Coturnix japonica: one gene and its partners. The protein of the gene in region 5 binds, or shares a complex with, the protein of the main gene of each other region. Links are inferred from orthologs where the notes say so. Each region holds a gene or a part of one and is shown on either strand. Other genes may lie near its edges.

Region 1 (4,089 bases), on a different chromosome or scaffold from region 5:
CAATTACACCTTGTGAAAGTACTCTCAGGTAAAGAAAAACAGACTTGTATAACACTGAAACATGAGTGCCTTCAAATCTCAGAGCTCCCTGCCTGTGGGTGAGTCCTATCACCAAGGGCAGGAGATGCACGGGGCCCAGCAGAGAATTTCAGAATCCTGGTATCCTGAACGTACACCTCCCTTTTGGAGGGTAAAACCAATGGTGAGATCTACCCAGGAACAGCTTAATATCTGCAAGTACTCTAGGCAGTTTCTCTGCTCAGAGCAAACCCATTACAAGAAATAACTTCTTCAAAGCGAAGGGGGAGGTTGGAGAGGAGTTAGTGGGCAATGTATCCAGTGGTCCTTCAAGAAGAGAGCTGGGTGAGAAAGGCAGTGCATGCAGCACTCAGGCAGAAACTGGGGTCACCTTCATAGAGTGCTCCCTTCTTTCCTGTTTGTTCTGCACCTCCGTCCCCTCAGCCTTCATACTATAGATCAGATGAACTCCCTTCCTCTGTTTGCCACTCCAGCAGCCCTGAATATTAGGGAAGAAATCCACAATCCCAGCCCACAAATGCATTCTGGTCCAGAACAAAGGAAATAAACCTGAAGATGTTTAGATCTAGATTACTTCCATGGAACCTAAAAGTTCCCTTAAGCAAAGTAAATACTTTGCAGCCTAATGACTATTAATTAAAAGGGAGTGCTTTACATACATCCAAGGAGAATTAAGTGCTGTTCACAGAATGTGTCTCTTTCTCCTAATTGTTTTGTCATTGTTCTGGGGAAGCAGCATCCCATGAATATTTCAGCACAATAATCAGTTTGAAAAACTAATCTGGATTTGGTACATTTTCCCCACAGTGCACAGAGACTCCGGTGACTGAAATAATCTAAAACCCAGATCTCTTTTTCCTCCCATATATCAAGTGAGACTTAGAGCCATCACAGAATGGCAAAAATAAAATAAAATGAAATAAAATAAAATAAAATAAAATAAAATAAAATAAAATAATAATAAAAACAAATAAAGTGGGGGAGTTTTGAGCTGAAAAAATGGGGAAGAGGTAACAAAAAAAAATCAGTTCAGATGTGCAAATTGTAGATAAAGACTTCTGATGAGGAAGAGGGGAGTGTCTGAAGAAGAAGAGTGTGTTGAAAGATAACAAGAATCAGTAATTTCTATTCAGCAAAGCCACCAAATCAGAGAGCAGTGCTGATCTTATTGGAGGAGAGCCTTCAACAGCAACTAATCCTGTCATATTGAAAGAAAATTGTAAATGTTCTCTGCAGAAATTGCCTGCCCATTGCAGCTAATCGAGCCCACTTGGCGCTCACACACCCACACACAGCACACAGCACCCGGACCCACAGCCGCACAGCCACCAGCACTGTGAGATGCTTACCTGGGCGCCCGGATCCCCTCCTTGCTGCCAACCCTCATGAAGGTGGCAGCTTGTCCTCATTTCCTTAGGAGTACTGTGGGAAATACGAATTATAATCGGCTCATTTATGAGCCCCAGTATCCTCTATTTTTAAATTCTCCAGTTTTGTCTAAACCTTTAAGCCAGGTCTGATAGCTCTATGTATATATGTGTGTATATATGTGTGTGTACATACATATATATGTATTTTAAAGCTGATCTTGGCTGAGCTGGAGCAGACTCCCAAGGGCCAGTGCCACGGAGAGAGTGCGGGGTGTGTGTGTGTGTGTGTGTGTGTGTGTGTGTGTGTGTGTGCCTGCGCATGTGGGAGGGAAAGAGAGAGCGAGGGAGAGACAAAAACTCCATCAACCCGGACAATGCCACCTCTCGTTTAATGCTTTCCAACTGTTATTCTTTCCCCTCATTATCACGGCACCAAGTAATCTGTCTTCTCCCCCCCCCCCCCCCCCCTCCCTCCTCTTGGAAGATATGGAAGAGAAAGATAAAGCGTCTGCCTGCGGGCGCTGATGCGCGCAGCTCGCATGCTCTGCCGCCAGAGCCGGGGCCACTCCGCAGCCGCCGCTCTCAAAGAGCCGCTTGCAGCGGGATGGGATGCAACTTCTGGTGATTGGATCACAGGTAAGAAAGCTTCGCTTTTTCATTGATGTTTCCTCTCTCTCTCTCTCTCTCTCTTTTTTTTTTTTCTTCCCTTCCTCTTCCTTTTTTTTCTTGTTCTTTCAGTCTTTATTTTGGTATTTTTCCCCCCACCCTTTTCTTTCTCGCCTTCTGCCCTCCTCCCCTTTCTCGCCGCACCTACAGTTTCATCTGCTGCCGTCATAGGGAAAGCTCCCGCCAAGAAAATAATGTCCAAGAAACGACCTTACGTTTTGCTTCCTAATAGAAGGAGCAGAGCAAAACATGGGGAAACTTTTGCTGAAAGGGTCTATCGCACTGCGGTCATCGGGGGCTGGGAGCGAGGGGAGAGAAGGCAAAGCCCCAGCAGAGATTTCCTCTGCTGAGTTACAGCTGTGATACTCATCCCGGAACCGAGGCTAAATGGTACAGCCAGGAAGGAGAGACGCGGTAACCCGATTTAGGGAAATCCTCACATTTACCAAGCGCTTCTCAAGTTGGCTTTTCTGTTTGTTTGTCAGTTTTTGTTTTAAATAATGTAAATGTTGAGTTCCAACACAGGGACGTCTCCCGGGCTACCCGTCCCAAATCCCACTGTGACATGTTTGCCGGTGAGTCCTGCAAAATGTCCTCGGGAGCTGGGAGTGGAGCCTGCCCTAGGGGTGAGGAGGGCAGAGACGGAGAGGGCAATAGGAAAAGGAGACTTCTTCCATGCCAGTGCGGTTCCTCAGCACCCCACCTAGGGACCGTGCATGTGTTCAGGGTCAGCGCCCATCCCCGTGGCCTCAGGTCTCAAGGGGGGGATAAGGGGGAGGGGGCTGGAAGGGGGCTGGGGTTCCGCCAGAGGCGAGAAAGGCAGGAGGTTTCCCCAGTTCCGACTTCACTTCTCTGGGTAGGTGCCCCCTGCGGTCCAGTCACAGGTGGATCCGGGGGAGGATGTGAGGATGCTCCAGGGTCGGGCTCAGCGCTACCCGCTACCACGTTCCGACTGATCTGGTGTGTGTGGGGGTAAGCCTCTGCCGGCTGCTCCTCCGGGCTCCCTCTGCTCCGGGTCGCAGACACGGGGTGCCTGCGGCGGGGAGGAGCGAGCCTCGAGAGGGAGCTGCTCTGACAGCGCGAACAAGAATACCTCCCGGACTGCCCCGGGAGCTGTGGTGTCGGTTACCCTCTCAAAGTCCAGCCATTTTCGGAGCTCTGTAGGGCCAAAGTGCTGCCCTACCCCACCAGCGAGTTTCTTTCAAACCCTTCTTCACTCTCGACTGGGAGCTGCTGTTCAGCTGGGGTCTCCGCAGAGCCACCAGGCATGTAGGCTCTTTTTATGTGCCTCGGGGTGATCACTGCACCCCGTCGGTGGAGAATGGACAGGGGACTTTCACCACACTCCAGAAAAGCTCTTTTTATCCATATTCTTTTCAAGCGCTTGCAGTACCTTTATGCAAACTCTTTTTTCTTCAACTGGTACTGGAGGATGGGGACAGGGATATTTCTTGCTGAAAATTCAGCCAGAGAAGTATGTCTCCCCACTTAAGTGTCATCCAGTGTGCTTGCACATTTTTCTTTAGCACTTGAGAAAAAGGGGAGAGGAAATAAAATTGAGGGTGAGTTTTAGCAGTGTTGGGTTTTTGTTGTTATTGTTGATGTTGTTGTTTGTGGGGTTTTTTAAAGAGATTGTCAATGAGGAAGGTTAATAAGGGAGATTAGGAGTAGGCGCTCTGTCTGCTTTTATGGTATTGCATTGCCTGCAATCCTAGCTCTGTCTAAATACGTGCCAGCCTCAATTACATAGTTTATGACACCAGCCGTTTTCAATGACTCGTCTATAAACTGTGTTATGTTGTGCAGAGTATACTCTCTCTCCTTTAGGCTCTTTTTGATTATAACTTTGGTCGAGCTTCCCCTCTGCAGGACCTCTGGATTGCAAAAACAACCCTGTTTGCTCTTGCACCTGGAGAGAGAGAAGTAGTACCACAGGTTTGCCAGCTTGTCAAGCCCACAATCTTCTCTAATACAAAACCAAGATCTTAGGAAATAACTGATCCACTTGTAACTC
Region 2 (4,260 bases), on a different chromosome or scaffold from region 5:
CTCAGCTGAGACATTCCAGAAGCCTTTAAGAATTGGGTTGAATAGGGAGCTTTGGGTTGGGATCTTTATACTGGTTATCTGCTCTTGTGTCTGCCTGAGGACCAGGTGATACACAGTTCTGAGGGCAAGAAGAAAACCCTGACAGGTGACAACAGACTAATCAGTGCACCCTAATGAACACATACAAGCACTTATGAACATGACATCTACATGTGACTTATGTAGTGCATAAGCCAGGTCAAAACATGAGCCACTGTACTATCTGCTTGCATATCTGTATGTAATCTGCTAATTAACCCTTCTAGGCTGGGTGATTTCCTTTGTTTCTTTACCAACACAGCATGACTGCAGAAATACATTGGATCGATAGTTGTCCTGCTGAAGCAAGAGAGAAACAGAGCAGGAAAACTCTGTTCTGCCCAGCTCTGCTGTCCCTTACTGACCCAAGGTGCCAGGCAGGTCATTCTGGTTAAACAGTAATTGAAAAGTCCAGGTAACATGTTGGAATCCCTTTGTAAATTACCTTCGGTCCAAAGCATGATTTCTGCTTTCTGTTCTGATGGAACAAACTGAATAATGACTGACAGCTAAGGAGCAGCCCGCAGTGTCAGTGCCGCCCTATGCACGCAGTCATTTGGAATGCATAGATGTCTTAATGAATACTAACAACTGGCTGAATAGCTGGTGATTACAAACAGCGCGAGCTCTCAAACAGCCGCGGAATGAAAGAGTCGGCTGTTAAACATCATCCCACCATAAACCCGACTCGAAGCCCCGCTCTCTGTCCCCGGCAGCGCTTCACGGGCTCACAGTGACCTCCTCTGTTGGGACGCGGTGGTGGAGCCGGGGCGGACACAGCGATTCCTGCCAGCCCGGACCGAAAGTGAAGGGATGGGAAGAGGTGCCAGCAAATGCCAGCTCTGCCGCGATGCTGGAGCTCCTTCATCCTCTGCTCGAGCTTTGGAAAAATATATATATACATAAATTCAAGCAAAAGTAACTCCCTTAACTATGAAAAGCCAAACGAGCTGAGGGAGGAGGAATCGACTCCCTGCAGCCAGAAGCAAAGGGCAACAAGCCCCCGGTTTGCAGGTCGTGGGCTGGGCAGGGCGAGATCTGTACCTTTCCCTTGCTGCCCGTGAGGACCATGGGCAAGAGCATCGCTGCTTTCCTCCACCTGCACGAGGGCATTCGGGGCTGACTTTAATTAGGCGTTTACATCCACATCGCGACATCGGGGCAGAAATCGTCAGCACTCCCCACGGCCTCTGTCTCTGGGGGGATGCTTAGCGGGACTCGCGTGGATACTACGGAAGGATCGAGGGAACCGAAGGGACAAAGGAACGAGGGGCCGGCAGCGTTCCGTGCGAGCGGTGCGGGGATGCTCGGGGCGGCGGCGGGGAGCGGGGGATGCGCCCCGGCTGCGGGAGGCGGGGCCGGGCCGGGGAGGGGCGGCAGCTCCGGCGGTGCGGAGCGGTGCGGGCCATGGAGAGCGGCGGGGCGTTGAACGGATCCGCCGCCGCCTCCGGGCGCTTCGCAGCCGCCGGCACCGCGGCGCTGGGCGCGCTCATGGCTCTGCTGATCGCCGTCACCGTGGCCGGCAACGCGCTGGTGATGCTGGCTTTCGTGGCGGACTCCAGCTTGCGCACCCAGAACAACTTCTTCCTCCTCAACCTGGCCATCTCGGATTTCTTAGTAGGTAAAGTGCCGCCCGCCGCGAAGCAACGCGTCCGAAACTTCGCGGCGAGGGCGGCGCGGGGTCCAGCCGCTCTCCCGGCCGCAGCTCCGGGCTTCCGTCCCGCAGCGCCGCTTCTCCCCGACCCCTCTGCCCCGCAGCGGCCGCCCGTATCACACATCCCACATCCCACATCCCACATCCTGCATCCCGCATCCCACATCCCGTATCCCACATCCCAATCCCAAATCTCACATCCCACATCCAACGCCCCAATCCCGCACCCAGCGGAGCAGAGCCCAGCTGAGCACACGGGCGGCGGTGCTGCTGCAGGTCACGGCCCCGCGTGTCTGAACAAACGGAGCCCTCTGGTTGCAGGTGCCTTCTGCATTCCCTTGTACGTGCCCTATGTGCTGACAGGGAGATGGATCTTTGGGAGAAGCCTCTGCAAACTCTGGCTGGTAGTTGATTACCTTCTCTGCACCTCTTCGGTCTTCAACATCGTGCTGATCAGCTATGACAGATTCCTCTCGGTGACAAGAGCGGTGAGTCCCGGCACAGCAGCCGAGAGGGAAATGATTCTCTTCCTGCTTTATTCTCCAGATAAGACTCAATAATTAAAAGCTTTCTCAGTCGTCCACAGAATTGTTAATCTTTCAGCCTGGAGATGGAAAGGAATGGTTATCCACAAATACCTAATTGAGCTCTGGTTTCTGATGAGTGTTTTTGGCGTATTTAAAACATATCCTGGACCCCACTGTGCTGGTGTTCCTTTGCAGATGACAGGAAGGCAGCTATGAATTGCAGAGATCTGTGATCTCCGGGGCAGACAAGCAGATTGCAGACCCAAAGCTGGGGAGATTTCAGTACCAACTTCAGCAGGGCACTGTGCTCAGTCTGTGGGTACTGCGAGGTGTGGTGCAGCCTTGCCCAGGCTGATCACAGCCACAGGTGCCTGGTTTCTCCTTGACTCTGAGAACAACCTGGGTCAGCTGCACGGTGCTCATGTTCAGATCAAGGCAGAGCTGAATGCCCGGTGTGTGATGCATGCCTGTCCCCAGGAGGTGCAGCATAGCTGGGGGCAGCTCAGGTATGAGGCTGGGAGCAGCAAACTGCTGGGTTTGAAGCAAAGCAATGCATTTCCACCGAGCAGAACTCACGTCTCTTTCTGGTGCTGCGAGATGAAGGTTCTAAGTCTTCCTGGCAGGTGTGTGATATATCCAGCAATTGCTCCTGCTGCCTGTAGCATGGGGATTTGTTAGAGCGCTGTGATATTGCCTTGCAGCTGTACCAGAAATGCCAACAGCGCGTTCGTGAAATGCCTCAACCAGTTGGTGTGCGTGGCCGTGCTTACAGAAAGGTTTCCTCATTGCAGGTCTCCTACAGAGCCCAGCAAGGCAACACCAGGCGAGCAGTGCTGAAGATGGTGATGGTGTGGGTCTTAGCATTCCTGCTTTATGGACCTGCCATTATCAGCTGGGAGTATATCTCGGGTGAGAGCATCATACCCACCGGGGAATGCTATGCTGAGTTTTTCTACAACTGGTACTTTCTCATGACAGCCTCCACGCTGGAATTTTTCACCCCTTTTATCAGCGTCATGTTTTTCAACCTGAGCATTTACCTGAACATACAAAAGCGGACCAAACTACGCCTGGATGTTTTCCACGAAGTGCACAACCAGTCCTTCGCTGAAGAGATGGAAATGAGCCCAGAAGCAAAGCTTCCTTCAAAGTGCTACAAGTGGGAGCAGAAGGAGCCGGCTGCAACCCTCAGCCTCTCTAAGAGCGAAGCACGAGCAGCAGCTTCCACTGGAGCAAAAGACCCGTTGACAGCCAGCTCGGGGAGATCCCAGTGCTGCAACAAAAAGGGCTGTAAGGATTCAGCACTGTCCTTAGAGAAAAGGATGAAGATAGTCTCCCAGGGCATGACCCACCGCTTCAGGCTCTCCAGAGACAAGAAAGTAGCCAAATCGCTGGCAGTCATTGTGGGTATTTTTGGGATTTGCTGGGCTCCGTACACCCTCCTTATGATTATTCGTGCCGGCTGCCACGGCCACTGCATCTCTGACTACTGGTACGAGACTTCCTTTTGGCTGCTGTGGATCAACTCAGCTGTCAACCCCGTCCTGTATCCCCTCTGTCACTACAGCTTCAGAAGAGCTTTTATTAAACTCCTCTGTCCAAAGAAGCTGAAGATTCAACCTCACAATCCCCTGCAGAACTGCTGGAAATGAAGCTAGCCTTGTGTGCAGGAGAGCCTTTGTAACACAGGCGTAATATTGCTTCTCCAGAAGCTGGGATCACTGCTCTGCAGCACGTGAGGAAGGCAGCTGGGAGATCACTATTAACTTATGCCAGTTCATCACCAACAAAACCAAGCAGAAGAGCAGTGAGGAGGTTGGTTTTTTTCCATGTTAACGTTCACCACAGGCAGTGATGTGTCCTCCACCAGCACAGCAGAGCTCTGCTGCCACCTAGTCAGCCTGAGCAGCACCAACGTTTTGTTGAAATGAGAAACGCAGAAAATAAAGACCTACCCCAAACCCACCGGGCTACACTAACGTTTGAATCATTAAACTAAAG
Region 3 (4,011 bases), on a different chromosome or scaffold from region 5:
GCGACACAGCTGGGTTTTTGTGTTCCAAAACAAGGGCTGATAATACAGAACGCAGGATGGAGCTGCAGGAGGCTGCTAAGCTAAATGAGACAGGAAGCACGTAATTAAATTAGATATTGAACAGAATGAAGACATCCGAGTACATGCACGTCGTTGGGCTCAGAAGCTATTGCATAACCCTAATGAAGAGCTGTGCATTAGAAAATATTATACGGACCATCTCCCATGCTGGAGCTCACCCACTAAAGGGGAAAGATCAAAACCTAATCATGAGGGGTCCCTCATCCCTGGGGGTACTGGAAAGATGTGTGGATGTGACACAAATGGACAAGGACTAGTGGTGGGTCTCCATAGGTCAGGCTGAAGGTTGGACTTTGTAATCTTGCATGTCTTTTCCAACACTGATGGTTCTATGGTTTCCCTCCTGCTGAGGTTTTATAAAGATTCTCTCCCTCCTGTGGGATTTGCATGGCCCAGGCTCCCATTGCAGCCTTTTCTTCACTTCTGACTTCCATCAAGCCTCTCATCTGAGCTGAGTGGTTCAAAAGATGCTACAGGGAGAATGAGGCATATCTACACCTTGTTTCTATGGGAAAAAGCAGTAAGGAGGAAGGGGCTGGAGCAAAGTGAAGGCTGGAACATCAAGGCCAACAATCACAGAACTACAGAACATCCTGAGTTGGAAGGGAAACATAAGGATTGTAGAATGGTTTAGGTTGGAGGGGACCCTAAAGATCATCTAATTCCAACCCCTCTGCCATGGACAGGTCGTCTCCTGTGAGCTCTGACCATTAATGTGTTACTTTGTGTAGCACCAAAACGTCTCTTCACTCTGCTCTGCACAGCAGCATGGTGCTGGGGGGCTGCCACGGGGTCAGCAAGGTGTGCTGGTCCCCATGTCCCTGCTGCAGTGATGCCACCACACCAGCAGCGCAGGGACGAGTGTTTGGAGTCATCAGCTGGTGGGATGGTGCTGACTAATTGCTTGTCCCCTCTGCTGTCCCCGCGGTTACTCAGCAGGCTGCACACGTCGGTGGACGCCAGCCTGTTTTTTCCACTTATCGAGGAAGCAGTGCTGACTGTGATGCTCAAGGACAAGCCTCCCACCCCCTCCCTTTGCACCTACCCAAGCTGTTATCTTCTCTGCTCGTGCTGAGCAGCTGTTGGTTGGCTGGAGGCTGGAGTGGAGCCGGATACCCTCCCAGCCCTCCCACCCCATATAAGCACAGCTCCTCGATGCTGTTTCAGCCAGCAGCACACCACACAGCAGCACAGGTGGTGCCCCGAGGATCCGATGTGTTGCTGGATGCCTTGGTGCCCAGCTCTCAGCATGTGCCGAGGATTGGCTGCGCTTCCCATCGCTTGCCTGGAGAGGTAAGGGGCTTTGCCACGCCGCAGCGCTGGGAAGCAGAGGGTTAGCCGGAAAAGATGCTCCTGACATCGGATCAGCCTCTGCTGTCATGATGTTTTGCTAGAGATCAGGGTGCAGACTGCACTGAACTCTCAACTAGAGACGGATGCAAGATTTCCTGTGGTTCCCAGGGAGGGATGTAGAGGTAAAACACAAAGGCTGCCCCTCATCTCACTGTGTGCACACACAAGGTTTGTTCTGCCGACTTTGTCACTGCACAGGCTGGCAGAAGCACTGTTTTAATCGAGGTGCTCACAGCACTCGGTGACATCCTGCCAAACAAGGCTACAAAGCAGTGCAGTGCTGGTGCCCTGACATTTAATCACTTATTTCTGCACGGGTGCCCTGGGATGCCAGCAGCGCTGCGTACTGCCAGGGGACCAAAGGGAGAGGAGTGGATTTAGAAGCAGCTCCTGCCCTGTTGCTGCAGGACACTCCATGGGGATGCATCTGGCTCTGAGTTGGCACTGCTGCCATTGTGCTGTCCAGGCTCCTGAGGCATGGGGTAGGTGCTGGTGACAGCTCTGTGGCACCCCCAAAAAGCAGGGGAGGAGCTGCAGCAGCACGGCATGGAGATGATGCTCCCTCTCTGCTGAGCAGAAGGCGAGTGCTGTGATTTTTCCAGCTCGCTACAGAGCACGGTTGCCAGGGAGCAGAAAAAGCCATTAGAGGATTGCTTGTTGCATGCAGCAGAAAGCAAGAAAGCCAGAGAGCTGGAGGAGAGAGGGCTGCCCCTGCCAGCAGGGATGGTGGTGTCAGTCCCCACATTCCAACCTCTCTATTTCCTCCCATCCAGAGCCAAGGAACTCAAGACCCGCTTGGGGATCCTGCTGCATAAACCGGAGCTGAAGCATGGCGTTGGGGCAGCGTGCAAGCTACAGTTGGGCTCCAGGAGGAGGTAAGCTGAGGCTGCGGGTCCCCTTGGGCTGGGCTGTCTCTGGGGATGCTCTGCTTGGCTGGGAGGATGCGGTGCTGCTCATCTGGGTGGTCCCGCCCCGCTGCCTGCCACGTCCCAGCTGCACCAGTTATAAAGTCGGATTGGAGAGGGATGCACCGGCATTAGGCGGAGTGGGGGCTTAGCGTTAAGCTGGAAAGCCAGAGGGCTCCCATAGGTGCTGGTACCTCAAACCCGTACCTGAGTCCCCCAGGGAATGCATACAGCACTAAAAACAAAACACTGAACCTCGCGGCTGTCGGACAGACGCCTGCATGCAGAGGGGGCTCTGCTGGGCTGCTACTGGGGAAGAGGGCTCCACTGAGCGTTCTCTAGAGAAGACTGCCCAGCCAAAGCTGCACGATGGAGCTGAGGTCTGGGGAGCCATCAGGGAATGTAAAAGAAAGGGGGAAAGAGAAAGGAAAGAGGGCTCACAGGTAAAGGATACTGGGGTCTCGCTGTGGCTTCCTGCTGGTGCTGCTGCTTCCCTTCTTGTGCTGTCTCATCGTGGATGTGCTCCCATCCTTCGCCGGCAAGACAGCAAGCCTCACGTCCTGTTGTTTGTTTTCTTGCAGAGACTCCTCACGAGAGGTGCTTGAGTGGAGGGAATCCTTTGACCAGCTCCTCAAGAGTAAAAGTGAGTCGGATTTTGTTTTTTCCTCTTTACAAGTGCATGTAGGATGTATCCCGGAGCCAGGTCTCCTCCTCAATTAGCTGCTCTAGAAACTCGGAAGGTACCCCTGTTGCCCATTGTGCAGCCAGGTCCCTTTGGCTTTACCCTTCCCTTCTGGCTGGATGTTTTTGGGGAGCAGAAGTGCTGTCTCACAGCTCTGTGGGCCAGGAGCATTGACGTGGGCATGCTGAGCAATGGCACGGACCTTCAGCTGGAAGGTATCTTTCCACTGCATTCTCTGGGCTCATGTCTGCTGCCCGTGTAGCTGCTTTCATGCAGGATTTCATTGCTTTGGAAAACATTGCTGCCCTCTGTCTGCCCATCCTATACCTCTCCAGTAGCTCTTACACGAAGAGAAGGCGTTCAACTGCTGTGCTGAGATCCACGCCTCCATTTTCCTCTCCAAAATTCACAGCAGAGCATAAGGTTCTTGTAAGGCGTTGTACCTGTAGGGCCAGCAAGGAGACCAAATATGAACACAAAAGTGTTTGCTTGATTTTATTCCATGGCAACAGACAGTCCTTCCGCAGTGCTAGTCTATGGCCAGGAATCTTTTTTCCAGCCTTTGTCATGTGCTGTGAAGGTTAGCAAACATCTCCAGCTTCGTAACTGAATAAATACATCCCCCAAGCCTGGTTCCCCTGCTGCAGGCACTCTCCCATATTCCTCAGCATCTCATTCCCCCAAATCCCAGCTGGGAAATAAAAGCAAAGCCATCTCTCCTTATTCCCGCGTGCATACTCATATCTCAGTGGATTTCCCCTTCATAGAATTAGCTCTTTTCCGAAGCTGTAAAGAAACCACTCTAAAGACTCATTACAGAAAGGTCAGATAAATAAAACTGGAGGATTATTTGTCTGTGGGAAAGGACTTTATTGGAGCCTTAAGGCCAGTCAGCAGAGGTTCAGAGGCTGGAGTTTGTCCAGAGGGAAAGGAAATCCACTGATACTGCGGTATGGTCTCCTAGGGAGATGGTGGGCAACGCCACATCCA
Region 4 (3,986 bases), on a different chromosome or scaffold from region 5:
ATTCAGACTATAACATTCAAAGGAAAATATTTCCTGAGAAAATAGAAGAAGACCTGAGCAATGAGGACTAATGACACATTTCAGATGGAGAGTTGCAATTAACTCAATGTTAGCACTAGCTTCAGCAAGGCTAAGGTTTCACTCCTGACAGAATAAAAAAGGCTGATGTCTGGCAACAGCACATGATTAACCTGAAGGAACAGAATGGAGCTGTGCCAGGGGAGGGACAGCTGGGAGTTAAGGAAAGTGTCTGCACCAGAGGGTGGTGGGCATAGAACGGGTTGCCCAGGGCTGGAGTTCAAGGGGTGTCTGGTCACTGCTTTCAGACAAAAGGTTTGAATTTCGGTTGCTCCATGTGGAGCCAGGAGCTGGGCTCTATGATTCTTGTAGATGTCTTCCAATCCAGGATATTCTCTGACTCAAAAGCAAAACATCAGCTTCTTGTGTCTCATATAAAGGAATTCATAGCAATAAACATAGGCATCAGTTACACTAAGGGAATTTATGTATACTTCCATTTTTTTTTGACCATATACTTGGATATTTCTGATAAGTCTGCTGTATCTGATACATTCTAAAAATGTTTAACATCTGTTCTCAGATCCCTAACAGAAGTATACAGTAGTAGTAGGTCCAAGCAGTAACTGAACATGACAATGTAGTGATGAGGTACACACACTAAAAACAACAACAACAAAGGAACCCTCAAATCTCTTAGGAGTCTTCAGTGGTTTATTTTTAGTTATTTGTAACTCCAAAACTGAGTCATGATGAATATAGGAAGCAGCTCGATCTAAATCCGTAGAAATCTATAGAAACTGAATTGCGCTCTCCCATAATGTTTTACTTTTGACATAATGCACCAGATGATAAGTAGGATTAATTCCCATCTAGATCTGCAGAAGTCAATAGCTCTACAGTCAGCTGATGCAGAGCTTCTGAAAGGTTGTCCTAATACAAGCAGCAAAAGGAAAGGTGGGGGGAAAAAAACCGTTAAACTGTGGTCTAAAGAGAAGCAAACAAAAGCTCGTGTCCTAAGGAAACACATCTGAACAGCTGGTTCTCTTTGTCCCCACTGCTCCCCACGTGGAAGGTGCTGCAAAGTAGCACTGAGATCTTGAGTAAATAGGACACATAAAAGAAGTATTTGAAGGAAGACACGGCTCTCCCAGCCCGTCCCTCCATATGGGTGGAGGGGATTTGCAACAATTCACAGTTTCATCCCTTGAGAAGAGAGACGGAGCAATGCTAACATCAGATGTAGCACACAGATCGAAAACATTTCAAGAACTCTCTAGCAATCCTGTTTTATTGGCAAGGTGCACGTGTGTGAGAGTATTTACGTGAACTCATACACACAGCCTGCGGGAGGCTCTGCATTCTGCCCAGCTCTGAGAAGAACCACTATTTAGACGCTCTAATTTTGGTCCCTGGAAGAGCTCCCTGCTGCTGCCCGGCTCTGAGCTCATCGCTGACTAACAGGGCACAGAGCAGAGCAACGGGGAGCTTTGGGAACACGTTCTTCGTGATTGGTACGTGAAAGGTGGTCTTTTATTTGCTTGTATGAAATAACAGCGCCTGCCACTTTTTGCCCTGCGAGCTACCGCCCATGACGGAACATATAATAGCAGCCTGTGAGGGAGGTGAAAACAGTGAGACCGGGCTTTGAATAGTCCGTCCGAATTCCTACTGCCTGCTACCTGTCCGAGCTCGATGCAGAACTCCCGCAGCCCCGCCTGCCGCCGCTCCACCCTGCCCAACAGCCGGCACAAGAGGCACGAAGAACTTTTCCGAGGCGGCTGCCCTGAGAAGCCGATTACCGTCTAAATCGGGAAATAAAGAAGTCCCTCTGCTCCCCGCTTTGCCCGACCTGCCGGCACAGCGGGAGCCAGGGCGAGCCTGGCGGAGGCGGAGGCGGAGGGAAGGGAGAGCGCAGCTTGCCCGGGGCTGCCGATCCTCCTCCGCACCCGGCGGCGCACGTTGGGCGGCGGCGGCGCCTTCCTCCTCCTCCTCCTTCTCCTCCTCCTACCCTCTAACCATCCACCCCTGCCCGGCGCTGGCGGGGGTGGCCGCCACCTGTCGCGGGGCTTTGCCTCCGCCTTCCACCCGCGGAAACTTTGCTTGGCGTCAACAGGAGAGGATGGAACCGGGGGAGCCCCTCAACCGGTCCCAGGAGGGGGCAGAGTCGCCCCGCGGGGAGTTCAACGCCTCCGGGCTGCTGGAGACTGAGGGGAAGCCCCTTTTCGGCATCGGCATCGAGAACTTCATCACCCTGATCGTCTTCGGCTTGATCTTTGCCCTGGGGGTGCTGGGAAACTCGCTGGTGATCACGGTGCTGGCTCGCAGCAAGCCGGGCAAGCGCCGCAGCACCACCAACATCTTTATCCTGAACCTGAGTATCGCCGACCTGGCCTACCTGCTCTTCTGCATCCCCTTCCAGTCCACGGTCTATGTGCTACCCACCTGGGTGCTGGGTGCCTTCATCTGCAAGTTCATCCATTACTTCTTCACCGTCTCCATGCTGGTGAGCATCTTCACGCTCTCGGCCATGTCCGTGGACCGCTATGTGGCCATTGTGCACTCACGGCGCTCCTCCACCCTGCGCGTCCCCCGCAACGCGCTGCTGGGAGTCGGGCTCATCTGGGCTCTCTCCTTTGCCATGGCCTCACCAGTGGCTCATCACCAGCGCCTCTTCCACCGCAATGGCAGCGACCAGACCTTCTGCTGGGAACACTGGCCCAACCCGCGCCACAAGAAGGTCTACGTGGTCTGCACCTTTGTCTTCGGTTATCTGCTCCCTCTGCTGCTCATCTCTTTCTGCTATGCCAAGGTGGGGCAGGGCAGGTGGTGGGGAAGGGATTGTAAAAAGCAATGGTGATAGCGGTGGTGGGTATCCGTGAGCTGTGGGGACATGTCCGGTGCGCAGATGGACATGGCATTGTTGGGAACCAGCAGCATAAGGAGGTGATGGGGCAAAAATGAGTTTGTGGGGATGGGTTTTATAGTGGAGGGATAGCTGGGGACGTGTGTGTGTGGTGCAGACAGGTCGAGGGCTGCATGGAGTAGCTGGGGGTGTTGTGTGTTCTTCAGACACTTCCGGGTCCCCTCTCCTTACAAAGTGTCAGAAAGCCCCAGTGCTCTGCTGCTTCCTCTGTGACCACAACTCTCCCATTTCCTTGCTGTGCTGCATGAAGAGTTTAACTCCAGTGAAGTGCAACCAAGCAACAAGTTGTTCAGGCTTCCTACAAAGCAGTGCAGCTCTTTTGAAATGAGGTGTGCTGAAAACAAGACAGCAAAATCCCACCAATTTCGTCTGATCCCATTAAAATATTATGAGCTAAAGGAATAAGGTGTCACCTGGTCATTGTTAACCTCACCCTGCTCTGCAGAGGGAGATTTACCTCTGAATTAAGCAAGGTCAGGTGCTAGGAAGCAACAAGTGAGAACCTGAGTAGGAAATCATTTAGTGCATTTGCCTGAATGGGTGTACTTAAGGGCTTTCTGCTCTGGAAAATGGTCATGTTTTTCTGCAGATGTTAATTTCAGCCTTTGATGCAGTATCAAGAAGGACTCAAGCACAGGCTGTGACCCAGTGAGCTGCACAGAGATCCTCCTAGTGTGCACCAGCAGCATCAGTCATGGGATTTCTCCTTAGGCAGTAATTTGGGTTCAAGTGGACAGAACCACCTTTGCAGATGGGGACTGCTTAGGTGTCACAAAATCCCATCTTTAATAAGCACGTTAAAAAGGCTTAGTTAATGCATTTAATCTGAACAGATAATTTTATCTTCAGTTGTATGTATTGTATATATATAAAGTTAGTTTAACTGTGGAAATTCAGGTTGGAACAGCATCCAACTCTATTAAAACTCTGAGTTATGCAGAACTCAAAGGATGATGTTTTTAACCTATTGTTGGTAGTGAAACAAGTCCAGCCTGGCAAATGGCGAAAAAATAAAACAAAACATGTTTTCCTATGTAAAATG
Region 5 (3,987 bases):
CCCGTGTAATGGAGCTTGACCAGGTGAAATGCTAATGCCTGCATTATATTTAAATTCATTTTCAGAAGCATTGGTTTCCCCTGCGGTGCCGGCTCCCCCCGGCTGCTGCCGCGTCCCCACCCAGCCCCACTGCTCGCCCGGAGCTCCCAGCATGGCAGCCAGCTCCGCATCCTCAGGCACAAGGCTGCAGGCTGCCGTGTGCCACATTAGGGCTGCTCCCTTCAACATATAGACCTACAACAGGGTGTTTTTCAGCCCTCACTCTACTAATATAGCCCAGCCAGCCGGCTTTTATCTGGAACCAGTTCGTTTAAACAACAAGAGCTCTGGTCCCCGCGGCACAGGAGCCCGTGCGTGGTTGTGTAAGGCACCATGGCCACAGCTGCCCCTTCACCCACAGCGCTGTCGCTGTTCCAGTGGCAGCCACAGCCTCTCCTTCCACCAAAGCATCGCCCGCCATTCCAGCACGCTCCTGCAGAAGCCATTCCTAGAGATTAAATAATTTAGTGGTGTTCATCTGCAGCAGTTCCTCTCCCGATCCACCTTTCACATACAAACAAGTGCAAACCAAACCGATCCTCCCGGCCCCACATCCCCAAATGCCCTTTGACGGGGCCTCGGAGCCTTTGCACACCGATAGCAGCGGGAGAGGCGGATGGAACGGCACCGAGGGCGAGGCTGCTCGCTCCCACAGCCCTGCAGCTCTATGGGAAGAACGCTGCCTCGGGCGGGGACGGTGGTTCGGTCCTCTGGGACCCCCCCGCTACAGGAGATGTGCTGTTCCCCGTACAATCACGGCACCGCGCCGGGCTGCGGGCCCGCGGCGAGCCCACGCCCGAGGGTTGGCGAGCGGCGCCCGAGCCCCTTCGGCTATTTCCGAGCCTGCTCGGCTCCCCCCCGACCGCCCCCGAGCGCTCTCCGAAGGCAGCCGAGCGCCGAGGGAGGAGACGAGCGCTGCGCTCCCCGCGGTTCGAGTCCCCGCTGGGCGCTGTCCACCACGAGAACCGCCTGAAAGCCGCGCCACGCCGCGCCCGAGGGACAGCGCGGAGGGACTGCGGATGGCTACGGGCACACCGGGCACACCGGGCACACCGGGCACACCGGGCACATCGGGCACACCGCCCGCCCCACGGCCCCTCCCAGACACCGGCTCCTTCCCTATCGGGAAACAAGAACCGCTCCGTGCCTCTACCACCGTGACACCCAGCCCCAATGCACAGCTATGGCGCCTGCTCGTTCCAGTGGGAGGCTGCGGCTGGATGGGCTTTAATTAAAGGGAAGAAAAGGGAATGGAGTAATTCTGCACCTCCACACCTCCGTTGGTTCCCTGCACCTTCACTGGCTTCCCCGCACCTCCATTAGCTCCCTGTGCCTCTGCTGGCTCTCTCATGCCTCCGTTGGATCCCCATGCCTCCATTGAGCTCCCCACACCCCCGTTGACTCTCCCACTCTTCTGTACACTCTCCCACACCTCTATATGATGTCCTACATCTCTATAGGTTCTCTCACATCTCCAATGGCTCTTCCATACTTCTGTTGTCTCTCTCACACCACCACTGACTCTCCCACATCTCTATATGCTCTCCCAGATCTCTAAAGGCCCTCCCACACCTCTGTTGGCTCTCCCACATCTCTACAAGGCTCTCCCAAATCTCTGTAGGCTCTCCTACATCTCTGTTGACTCTCCTACATCTCTGTTGACTCTCCCACACCTCTGTTGGCTCTCCCACACCTCTACAGGCTCTCCCACCCCTCATTATGCTCTCCCACAGCCCCGCTGGCTCTCCCCCTGGAAGCACCGCCTGGCCACGTGCTGGGATCACTGTGTGCTGGGGGCACGGTGTGGGGCAGCCATGTCAGCCCACTCCCATTGGGGCCCGGCACAGCTGTCAGGGAGGTGCTGCATGAAGGCAGGGCTGATTTTTCAGGGCGCGTTGGGTCGCGTGTTTTTCCTTTCCCCTTTTTAATAACCCGTTTTCAACATAATTGGCGACCGGCGGCCAAGTTCGCCTCTCATTAATTAAAAGGCTCAAATCTCGGGTAAAAGGGGCTTTGGGTGGCAGCGAGCCTCGCTTTAAATCCGCATTACGGGCGGATTTCGTGCTTTTTTCCCCCTCCCTCCTCCTCCTCCTCCCGAGCGCCGGTCCCGGCCGCAGCCGCCCACCGCCCGCCCCGCCGCCCTCATCCCGGCGTTCAGCACCACGGGGCCCCGAACAGCAGCGGCCGCCGCCTCCCGCCCGGCGCTGCCCTCGGGTACAACATGGCGCCCGCGGCCCTCCGCGCCGCCCCGCGCCCCGCGGCACTCACTTCATCTGCTTCACGATGGTGCTCTTCCCCGACTCTCCGGCCCCTGCGGGACAGAGAGAGACAAGCGGTGAGCGCGGGGCGCGGCGGCGCGGGGCGCGGAGCGGAGCGGGGCTCACCGAGCAGCAGCAGCTTCACGTCTTTGGCCGCGCTGATGCCGTCCTCCTTCAGGTTCTTCTCGATGGCCTTGCTGCGCTCCAGGGCGGCCCGCTCCTCGGCGCTCAGGGTACATCCCATGGCGAGAACGGATTGAATGGAATTAAAAAGAAAAAAAAAGAAAAGAAAAAGAAAAAAAAAAAGGGAGGGGATAAAAAAAAAAGCGCAGCCCCCGCCGCCGCCGGGCGCACCGAGCTGCGGGCAGCGCAACGCCGACAGCCGCGGGGATTAACAAAGGCCTGCGGGCTCCGCAGCGGCGGGGCCGGCGGCTCCGTGCCCGAGCGCTCAGCGCATCCACGGGCTGCGGGCAGCGCGGGCGGCCGCGGGCGGGGCGGGGCGGAGCTGAAGGAGGAGGAGGAGCGAAGGGGGAGGAGGAACGTGACGAACGGGGCGGGGCCGCTCCGGGCTGCGCGCCTGGCGGGGCGCGGGGATGCGGCGGCGGTGCGGGATGTGCGGGATGTGCCGGGGGAGGGGGACGCGCTCCGCAGGCCTCGCCCGCTGCCGTGACGCGCGAGTACCGCGCATGCTCCCAGCACAGCGCATGAGGGAACGGGCTGGGTCAGATGGAGAGGAGCTCGGCATGGAGCTCGGCATGGAGCTCGGCATGGAGCTCGGCATGGAGCTCATGGCTCTGCGACCCCTGACAGCAGGTTGGGGGGGGGCTCGGCCTCTGCTCCAGATAACAGCGGCGGGGTGAGAGGTAGTGACCTCGAGCTGCACCGCGGATGGTCAGGTTGGGGACTGGGAACTATTCCTTCTTTAAGAGTGAGGCGGTGGCACAGCTGCGCAGGGAAGGGGGGAGTCACCATCCATGGAGCTGTCAGAGCCGTGCCATGTGGTCCTGGTGGGGTGAGCTGGGGTTGGACCCAGGGAAGGGAGAGCTCTGATTGATTCTATGAAACCAAGGCCTGTATTCTGGGAGCAGGCTGCCCTCTGCCACGAGCAGCCAGGCCGAGGAGCTCACTGAAGGAACAGAGCTGCTGCCACAGCCCTCTCCACCTCCCTGCAAACAGAACCAGAAGGATGCTGTGGGGCCGCTGCCCGCTGTGACTATCCATAATGAAACACCCGGCCCAGGTGGGGCTGGGCACAGGCTGACATTATATGACCTCCTTCCCATAAAGCACCGTTTCCATTTTCCTTCTACACCTCTGAAACAAAGGGGAGAAGCGTGGCATGTGGTTAACAGTGTATAGCAGAGATGTGAGGCAGAGCAGACAAAGGGAAGTAAAAGGGAGCTCATAAATAATGTTAGCGTACTCAAGGGCCAGCGGTATTTACCGAACATTTGTGAGCTAATAGGTACTGAATATCTGAATTTGGGGTAATTTATTTCTGGGAGCCCAGGGGAAAAGGGTATACCTGCATGGGAAAGCAAACCTACTGCCTGTATTCAGCAGGGAGCGGGTGGGGGTGGGGGTGGCTGCGGAGCAATTCCTGCTCTTTCATACTTGAGCAGATCTCCTGTGTAAAATCAATAGGATCAGAATTTCAATCAGTAGGTTTCATTTCAATGGTACCAGCCAG
Region 6 (2,225 bases), on a different chromosome or scaffold from region 5:
AATGCCTCCGCTCCTGGTTAACAGCAGTTCACATGATCAGGATGCTGTATACTATGCACCAGAATCCATCAGCTCCCTGGTTATCTTCATCCTTGTTTTCATCATAGGTATCCCAGGCAATGGGTTGGTTATCTGGGTAGCTGGTTTGAAAATGAAGAGGTCTGTGAACATCATCTGGTTCCTAAACCTTGCTGTGGCTGACTTCATGTGCTGCTTGTCTTTGCCATTCTTCATTGTTCACTTGTTCCTCAATGAACACTGGCCATATGGTTGGTTTCTCTGCAAAGTCATCCCATCAGTCATAATCTTCACCATGTTTGCTAGTGTTTTCCTACTTATGGTGATCAGCATAGACCGGTGCCTCCTCGTGATGAAACCAGTCTGGTGTCAAAACCATCGAACAGTCAAGTTTATTTCACTCGTCTGCAGTGGCATTTGGATCCTGGCCTTCATTTTCTGTTGTCCAGTCTTTCACTACCGCAACACTGTCACTGGTGGTGGAAAAACTGAGTGTGGGTACAGTTTTGGAGATTATGAAGTACCAGATTATGCAGATGACAGTGATCTTGTAACTGGGATATTGGAAGAATACTCACCTTCAGTACCAGCTGTCACACATGTTAGCACCGTCTTTGCTCATCAGCCTACTGATAGCTATCCAGATTTTCAGGCAAACAGCATGTCCACCCACAATGGTGCAATTGCAGCAGCTCACCTTTCTCATGCCACTGTAGATGTGTACTCCTTGTTAAATTCGACTCCCTATCCAGACATCAGGCTATTGGATGATCTACCTAGTACTAATGTGCCTGTACTATCCAACAATGACTTCGATTTAAAGCTACTTGATACTCTTGATTTGCTTGATTTTGACGATGTCTTTAGTGGTAATGATTATGCCATACCCCTTCCCTTAATTGTAATAACTATCACTAGGGCTGTCTTTGGCTTCATACTTCCTTTCGGCATAATGGCAGTTTGCTACGCCCTTATTGCTTCCAGGATGCTAAGAAGTAACTACCGTAAGCCACAAAGCAAGATGCTGAGAACTATCATTCTTGTGATAGCTGCATTTTTCATCTGCTGGGCTCCCTACCACGCAGTTGGGTTTCTGTCCCTTGTGGCTACTCCCGGTACAGAACTGAAGGAGTCACTGATCCTTTGGGATCACCTCTCTGTAGCTCTTGCATATGCCAACAGCTGCATCAACCCTCTGCTGTATGTTTTTGTGGGGCGGGACTTCAGGGCAAAGGCAAAGCAATCACTGCAAGGAGTCTTGGAAGGAGTCTTTACAGAGGAACCAACATGTTCAACCCCTTACTCTCTTGACAGAAGCAAGACTTCAAACGATAAGGATGTTAGTACCACAGTCTAATGCTGGACTTCCCATCATTACTGCAGAAAGAGCTCTGTACATCAACCACTCTCCACTTTTTTTGCTTTAACACATCTGATTACTGAACAGAATTGCACACGGGGCACTGTGATGGTTCAGATTAGATCTGCTAATCCACTTTATATCCTACTATAGCAAGATGGGAAGTCAGAAATACTAAGAGTAATAATTTTTAGGGAAAGACTAGTGAAGCAAGAGACCCAGAATACTTTAAAGAGTAAAGAAGGCTTGCAGAATGGTTTGTAGTGCAATCATGTACTTCAACTTCTGAACTGCTGAATAAGAAAATAATCAGTTATTTGCATGTCTATTAAAGATAAAATGCAACACTGATGTCTCCTTTGACTGTACTTGGGTCTGAGAGGGTTTTTTTCTGAAGATAGGTAGAGTGAAGCACTACGGTTTACTACAGCATTGCATAGGAACAGCACATTCTCCAGTCAGATGCACTGAACTGATTTTCATGTACTAGTAGATGTCTAAGGTATCATGTTTATCCCAGCAAATATATCACTGTACAGTGGTAACTGCCCTAATTCTCATGCTGTAACTATGTTCATTAGCATTTACTCACTGGCTCCTCAGCACTCCTTCCAACATTAGAGTCACAGACTTTCCTTTAACAAGGTGTTTGAGGCTGCCCAAATATCCCTACTGTATTTCAGGTTATCACAAACAGAATTTGGGGAGCTACTAAGCCACAGTGTAGTTTTCACAGCTTTTCTAGCCAAGATGAGAGTTGAAAGATGTGCTGGTCTCGGTGTTGGGAAAACAGACAGCCTAACCGTAACCTAAAATGTCTCAGTTGCAATGTACACGTAAGTGGGGC
Region 7 (4,009 bases), on a different chromosome or scaffold from region 5:
AGGAGAGAGAAAAATCAAAGCAGCTGTTGTGGTTTCATCATTTACATCTACACTCTGTCTAAGTTGAGGAATGTGGCTCTGAAGATGCGCTGGGTGCACCAGAAAGGCACGAGGTCCCAGCACAGCACCCCCAGCCTTGCTGCAGCCCCAGGTGAGTCCCTGCACCCTGTCTCCATGTGCCCTGTGGTGTGAAGTCAGATTTTACAGATTGCACCTACTCTGATGGAGGTCAGTGTGCATAGGAAAGTGTGTGTGTGTGTGTGTGTGTCACTGTGGCCTCAGTTTAGAGACTTGAAGGCACTCTCTGCAGATGGCATCTGTAAAATGGGCATCTCCCCCCACTGCCTTATCACCCGTGTCAGCCCTGCAGGCTGTACTTAGCAGCTCCCACACCCCACATCCCAGGCCCTGCTTTGTGTCACTGCTTATAGCACAGTGTGGGGATGAGGGAAAAGGGCTTTGTCCCTCTTGCACGTCAAATGCCTTTATTAGCTCAAGCACCTGGTGTGGTAATTAATTGAGAGCTGCCTGAACCCTGATCATCCTTAGGGACATCTAAAAGTGAGAGCAAAGAGCCCACGAGAGTTAAAGCAGGGGCTGTAGCGGTCACCGCTCTGTGCGTGCTGAGAGCTGGGCGTCACCAGGTGTGCCACCACTGCTCTTTGTTGTTAATGAGGTTCTGTGATGCTGCTGCAATTCAGGGGGGCAAAGTCACGGGGGTCTGAGGCTGCTCTCTTCCGTGGGGCTGCCGCCCGCCTTCCATCCTCCTGCGTGTAGGGGGCACTGCGGGAGCTGGGCTGGGGCGGCGACCCCCTGGTGCCGGCTGCTGAGGTTCGGGTGCCGCGAACCGCGACCTCGCGTGGGTGCCGCGGCCTCGTGGGCCACTGCGTGCAGTGCAGTGCGGTGCGGCGGCCAGCAGGTGCCACTGCCCCCCCGCGCTGCCTGGGGCCGCTGCCGCCGCCCGGCTGCTCCCCCCACTTCGCGTTCCCCCAACACGCGACGGTCTGAAGCTGCCCCAGGGCCGGGTGTGTGCGGGGGTGGGGGGAAGAGAGGGGGGAGCTTTCCCGGGACACGGCCGCGAGGGGAGGGGAGCCAGTGCGCGATTGGGTGGCACCGCGCCGTAAGGCTGCGATACTCGGGGGGAGTCGGGGCTGGGGGGCGAGGGGGTCGCGGGGCTGCGGGGGCAGCGTGCAGGACGCGGACGGGGCTGAACCTGTCGGCGCTGGAGGTGAAGCTGCGATATGTGTGTGCGTCTCTGTGTGTGTGTGTGTGTGTGTGTGTGTGTGTATGCGTGTGCGCGCAACGGGGGCAGCTCCCCACGTGGGGCTGACGCGGCAGCCCCGGCCTGATCCGGGGCTATAAAACGGCTCAGCGACGAGCGAAGCAGAGCAGCCTCCGCCGGCTGCAGCCCCGACCCCGCTCCGCTCCGAGCCCGGCATGAGCCGCGCCCGCCCGCGCCCCCCCGGCCGCCGCCTCTCAGCCCCCGCCCGGGCGGCGCCGCTGTAGGAGCGCGGAGCCCCGCGGAGAGCCGGGTGGGGCAGGGGGCGAAGGGCGGGGGGTGTCCGCGCAGCGGGGTTGATGTTTAACCCGGAGCGCCCGTTCACGGAGAGGGGCCACTTCTTCTCCTCCATGGAGTACCAGCGGCAGCTGGAGGAGGAGGAGGGCTACCCGCCTCCCGGCGCCAACGGGACTTTCAACGACAGCGCGGCCGGGCTGGGATGGAGCATGCCGTACCCCCTGCACACCACCATCACCCTCATCAGCCTGGCGGGCTTGCTCATGCTCTTCACCGTCTTCGGCAACGTCCTGGTCATCATTGCCGTCTTCACCAGCCGGGCGCTGAGGGCCCCCCAGAACCTCTTCCTGGTGTCCCTGGCCTCTGCCGACATCCTGGTGGCCACCCTGGTCATCCCCTTCTCCCTGGCCAACGAGCTGATGGGCTATTGGTACTTTGGCAAAGTGTGGTGCGAGATCTACCTGGCGCTGGATGTGCTCTTCTGCACCTCCTCCATCGTCCACCTGTGCGCCATCAGCCTGGACCGCTACTGGTCCATCACACAAGCCGTCGAGTACAACCTCAAGCGCACCCCGCGCCGCATCAAGTGCATCATCTTCATCGTCTGGGTCATCTCAGCCGTCATTTCCTTCCCACCGCTCATCTCCATAGAGAAGAAAAGTGTGCAGAAGGTGAACCAGTGGGCATCAGGGTGCAAGATCAATGACGAGAAGTGGTACATCATCTCGTCGAGCATCGGCTCCTTCTTCACCCCGTGCCTCATCATGATCCTGGTCTACGTGCGCATCTATCAGATAGCCAAGAGACGAACCAGGGTCCCGCTGAACAAGAGGGCGGAGCGCCCAGAGAAAAAGCAGAACGGCTTGGCCGACAAGGAGGACCTGCCAGCCTCAGCCCAGCTCAATGGGGAGAAAGCAGCCGGAGCTGGTGATGGGCAGGAGGGAGAGGTCAATGGCATAGACATGGAGGAAACCTCCTCCTCTGAGCACCAGGAGAACAGCCAGCCCAAGAAAGCAGAGAGACCCCTGCGGGGAAAGACCAAGACTAAGCTGAGCCAGATAAAGCCTGGGGACGCTTTGCCCAGGAAGACAGAGGAGGAGAGGAACACCAAAGGGTCCCGGTGGAGGGGCCGGCAGAACCGGGAGAAGCGCTTCACCTTTGTGCTGGCCGTGGTGATGGGGGTCTTCGTGCTCTGCTGGTTCCCCTTCTTCTTCACCTACACACTGACTGCAGTCTGCAAGAGCTGCTCTGTGCCTCCCACCCTCTTCAAATTCTTCTTCTGGTTCGGTTACTGCAATAGCTCCCTCAACCCAGTCATCTACACCATCTTCAACCAGGACTTCAGACGGGCCTTCAAAAGGATCCTCTGCAGGATAGAGAGGAAAAGGATCGTTTGAAGGACCCACAGGAATGGGCAGGACTAATAATTCAAGACTTTGCAAGAGAGTAAGGCACGACTGTCCTTGGGCTGTGCTTGCATGGGATGGTTTCCTTCAACTTCTGAGCAGGAAGCCTTCCAAACCCGAGATGAGCCCACTGAAATGCCCAACAGCGGCAGCGAGGAGCGGCAGGCAAGTGGAGGTCTGAGCCTGGCACTCAGCTCCCAGGGGAGGATGGCTTTCGATTCGCTTGGTTTACTTTGTGAGGTTTCTTTCTTTTGCCACAGAGTCTCTCAGTGGATGTTTTCATGACTGCTCAGTTTGACTCTTTAAAGACAGATGACGCACAGCTCCGTGAAGCGAACAGCAAAGCGGGAGTATGCCCCCTTCAGAGGTGTTGGCTTTTTGTTTTGTTGTATCTTCCCCACTCCCCCCCCCACCCCCCCCTCCTGTTGTATATGTAATTAGTTTTAACCCCCTTGTAAAATACAGTGTTGTATCTCTGAATCTGAACGTCTTAATTTTTGTAAGGCAAGCAGCTTCGAAACTGTGAATGCTTTAATTATGTTTGACACCTGAAAACTCCCTTTCTTCCCACTCCCTGAAATCCCCCTTTGCTCAAAACCAGCAAAGAGTTAGAGCAGTTTCTCCTGCCTGGCAAGTGGGTAAAATCACCAACATTTCCATTTCCAGTGTCCTGTTGTTGTTCTTTTTTCTATTTCTATTTCTTTTCCTTTTTTTCTTTTTTCTTTCTTTTTTTTTTTTTTTTTTGGCTCTAAAGCTGAGGATCCTGCTCCCCCCCAGGCTAGCTTTTCTTTCATGTTTTTTTCCCCTTTTCTCTCTGTCCTAACCTGGTTCTGTTGAATTCAGCGCTGCCCATGATATAAGAAGGCAGAGCTGTAATTTCCACATCCCTACCAGTTGCAGCAGAGCCAAGGGGTGGTTGCTGTGCAGGCGGGCACCCAAGGGCTGCTAAGGGCTCTTTCTCATGCTGTGCAGAGCTTGGGATCCAGCCAAGCTCCCAGCAACTTCCCCTCGGCTGATATAACACCGTATCAAAGTTCCAACGTGTGTTCAATGCTAACTCGGTTCCCCCACCCCTGACTGTACATAG

The links.
Region 1: the proteins of GNAO1 (region 5) and CHRM2 are in contact, whole or in part, in a cryo-EM structure (PDB 7T8X), measured with the Homo sapiens proteins. The link is inferred for Coturnix japonica from reciprocal best matches to the Homo sapiens genes GNAO1 and CHRM2. Residues at the interface, in NP_066268.1 of Homo sapiens: Lys24, Ile28, Ala31, Lys32, Leu195, Tyr320, Asp337, Ala338, Thr340, Asp341, Ile343, Ala345, Asn347, Leu348, Gly350, Cys351, Gly352, Leu353, Tyr354; in NP_000730.1 of Homo sapiens: Asn58, Arg121, Cys124, Val125, Pro128, Leu129, Thr130, Pro132, Val133, Lys134, Thr136, Ile209, Ser213, Lys214, Ser215, Arg216, Ile217, Arg381, Lys384, Val385, Thr388, Ile389, Cys443.
Region 2: the proteins of GNAO1 (region 5) and HRH3 are in contact, whole or in part, in a cryo-EM structure (PDB 8YN7), measured with the Homo sapiens proteins. The link is inferred for Coturnix japonica from reciprocal best matches to the Homo sapiens genes GNAO1 and HRH3. Residues at the interface, in NP_066268.1 of Homo sapiens: Ile28, Ala31, Lys32, Asp33, Val34, Lys193, Asn194, Leu195, Asn312, Pro315, Asn316, Lys317, Glu318, Ile319, Tyr320, Phe336, Thr340, Asp341, Ile343, Ile344, Ala345, Asn347, Leu348, Arg349, Gly350, Cys351, Gly352, Leu353, Tyr354; in NP_009163.2 of Homo sapiens: Asn69, Asp131, Arg132, Ser135, Val136, Ala139, Val140, Tyr142, Arg143, Ala144, Gly147, Ile221, Ile225, Arg228, Arg232, Thr345, Phe348, Arg349, Arg352, Val356, Leu360, Cys415, His416, His417.
Region 3: the proteins of GNAO1 (region 5) and RGS16 are in contact, whole or in part, in a crystal structure (PDB 3C7K), measured with the Mus musculus proteins. The link is inferred for Coturnix japonica from reciprocal best matches to the Homo sapiens genes GNAO1 and RGS16. Residues at the interface, in NP_034438.1 of Mus musculus: Glu64, Asp65, Gln68, Ser75, Arg86, Thr117, Val180, Lys181, Thr182, Thr183, Gly184, Ile185, Val186, Gln205, Arg206, Ser207, Glu208, Lys210, Lys211, His214, His236, Glu237, Asp238, Glu239; in NP_035397.2 of Mus musculus: Glu85, Phe86, Ser87, Glu89, Asn90, Glu124, Ala125, Pro126, Glu128, Val129, Asn130, Asp132, His133, Glu134, Leu161, Lys164, Asp165, Ser166, Arg169, Lys172.
Region 4: the proteins of GNAO1 (region 5) and GALR1 are in contact, whole or in part, in a cryo-EM structure (PDB 7XJJ), measured with the Homo sapiens proteins. The link is inferred for Coturnix japonica from reciprocal best matches to the Homo sapiens genes GNAO1 and GALR1. Residues at the interface, in NP_066268.1 of Homo sapiens: Ser264, Asn316, Glu318, Tyr320, Asp337, Asp341, Ile343, Ile344, Ala345, Asn347, Leu348, Arg349, Gly350, Cys351, Gly352, Leu353, Tyr354; in NP_001471.2 of Homo sapiens: Thr70, Arg133, Ala136, Ile137, Ser140, Arg141, His226, Leu227, Leu231, Asn233, Ser235, Lys236, Lys237, Ser238, Ala240, Ser241, Lys244, Thr245, Thr248, Leu306, Ser307, Glu308, Asn309.
Region 6: the proteins of GNAO1 (region 5) and C3a anaphylatoxin chemotactic receptor-like are in contact, whole or in part, in a cryo-EM structure (PDB 8I95), measured with the Homo sapiens proteins. The link is inferred for Coturnix japonica from reciprocal best matches to the Homo sapiens genes GNAO1 and C3AR1. Residues at the interface, in NP_066268.1 of Homo sapiens: Ile28, Ala31, Lys32, Asp33, Val34, Asn194, Leu195, Ser264, Asn316, Glu318, Tyr320, Asp341, Ile342, Ile343, Ile344, Ala345, Asn347, Leu348, Arg349, Gly350, Cys351, Gly352, Leu353, Tyr354; in NP_001313404.1 of Homo sapiens: Asn57, Asp119, Arg120, Val123, Val124, Pro127, Ile128, Gln131, Asn132, Arg134, Asn135, Tyr356, Ile359, Arg362, Gly366, Arg367, Phe368, Ser371, Lys374, Thr375, Val378, Leu438.
Region 7: the proteins of GNAO1 (region 5) and ADRA2A are in contact, whole or in part, in a cryo-EM structure (PDB 7W6P), measured with the Homo sapiens proteins. The link is inferred for Coturnix japonica from reciprocal best matches to the Homo sapiens genes GNAO1 and ADRA2A. Residues at the interface, in NP_066268.1 of Homo sapiens: Ile28, Lys32, Lys193, Asn194, Leu195, Asp218, Phe336, Thr340, Asp341, Ile343, Ile344, Ala345, Asn347, Leu348, Gly350, Cys351, Gly352, Leu353, Tyr354; in NP_000672.3 of Homo sapiens: Arg77, Arg146, Ser149, Ile150, Ala153, Ile154, Asn157, Leu158, Arg160, Pro162, Ile234, Ala238, Arg241, Arg383, Arg386, Phe387, Val390, Leu391, Phe444, Asn445, His446.

The regions. Positions count from the first base shown.
Region 1 is NC_029516.1:54,483,653-54,487,741, forward strand, and holds the start of CHRM2 (muscarinic acetylcholine receptor M2), read left to right. Parts: upstream 1-1,289; 5' UTR 1,290-1,430; exon of another isoform or gene 1,431-1,878; intron 1,879-1,893; 5' UTR 1,894-2,045; intron 2,046-4,089. UniProt on the Homo sapiens protein: The muscarinic acetylcholine receptor mediates various cellular responses, including inhibition of adenylate cyclase, breakdown of phosphoinositides and modulation of potassium channels through the action of G proteins.
Region 2 is NC_029535.1:6,944,620-6,948,879, reverse strand, and holds the start of HRH3 (histamine H3 receptor), read left to right. Parts: upstream 1-1,460; 5' UTR 1,461-1,485; coding exon 1,486-1,699; intron 1,700-2,053; coding exon 2,054-2,220; intron 2,221-3,050; coding exon 3,051-3,911; 3' UTR 3,912-4,260. UniProt on the Homo sapiens protein: The H3 subclass of histamine receptors could mediate the histamine signals in CNS and peripheral nervous system. Signals through the inhibition of adenylate cyclase and displays high constitutive activity (spontaneous activity in the absence of agonist).
Region 3 is NC_029523.1:6,076,672-6,080,682, reverse strand, and holds the start of RGS16 (regulator of G-protein signaling 16), read left to right. Parts: upstream 1-1,211; 5' UTR 1,212-1,294; coding exon 1,295-1,374; intron 1,375-1,820; exon of another isoform or gene 1,821-1,911; coding exon of another isoform or gene 1,912-1,916; intron 1,917-2,207; coding exon 2,208-2,309; intron 2,310-2,441; exon of another isoform or gene 2,442-2,708; coding exon of another isoform or gene 2,709-2,782; intron 2,783-2,920; coding exon 2,921-2,982; intron 2,983-4,011. UniProt on the Homo sapiens protein: Regulates G protein-coupled receptor signaling cascades. Inhibits signal transduction by increasing the GTPase activity of G protein alpha subunits, thereby driving them into their inactive GDP-bound form.
Region 4 is NC_029517.1:81,400,084-81,404,069, reverse strand, and holds the start of GALR1 (galanin receptor type 1), read left to right. Parts: upstream 1-1,186; 5' UTR 1,187-2,140; coding exon 2,141-2,830; intron 2,831-3,986. UniProt on the Homo sapiens protein: Receptor for the hormone galanin. The activity of this receptor is mediated by G proteins that inhibit adenylate cyclase activity.
Region 5 is NC_029526.1:480,271-484,257, forward strand, and holds the start of GNAO1 (guanine nucleotide-binding protein G(o) subunit alpha), read right to left. Parts: upstream 2,801-3,987; 5' UTR 2,542-2,800; coding exon 2,424-2,541; intron 2,351-2,423; coding exon 2,308-2,350; intron 1-2,307. UniProt on the Homo sapiens protein: Guanine nucleotide-binding proteins (G proteins) function as transducers downstream of G protein-coupled receptors (GPCRs) in numerous signaling cascades.
Region 6 is NC_029516.1:61,386,569-61,388,793, forward strand, and holds the end of C3a anaphylatoxin chemotactic receptor-like, read left to right. Parts: 5' UTR 1-1; coding exon 2-1,375; 3' UTR 1,376-1,725; downstream 1,726-2,225.
Region 7 is NC_029521.1:23,172,893-23,176,901, forward strand, and holds the start of ADRA2A (alpha-2A adrenergic receptor), read left to right. Parts: upstream 1-1,209; 5' UTR 1,210-1,578; coding exon 1,579-2,913; 3' UTR 2,914-4,009. UniProt on the Homo sapiens protein: Alpha-2 adrenergic receptors mediate the catecholamine-induced inhibition of adenylate cyclase through the action of G proteins.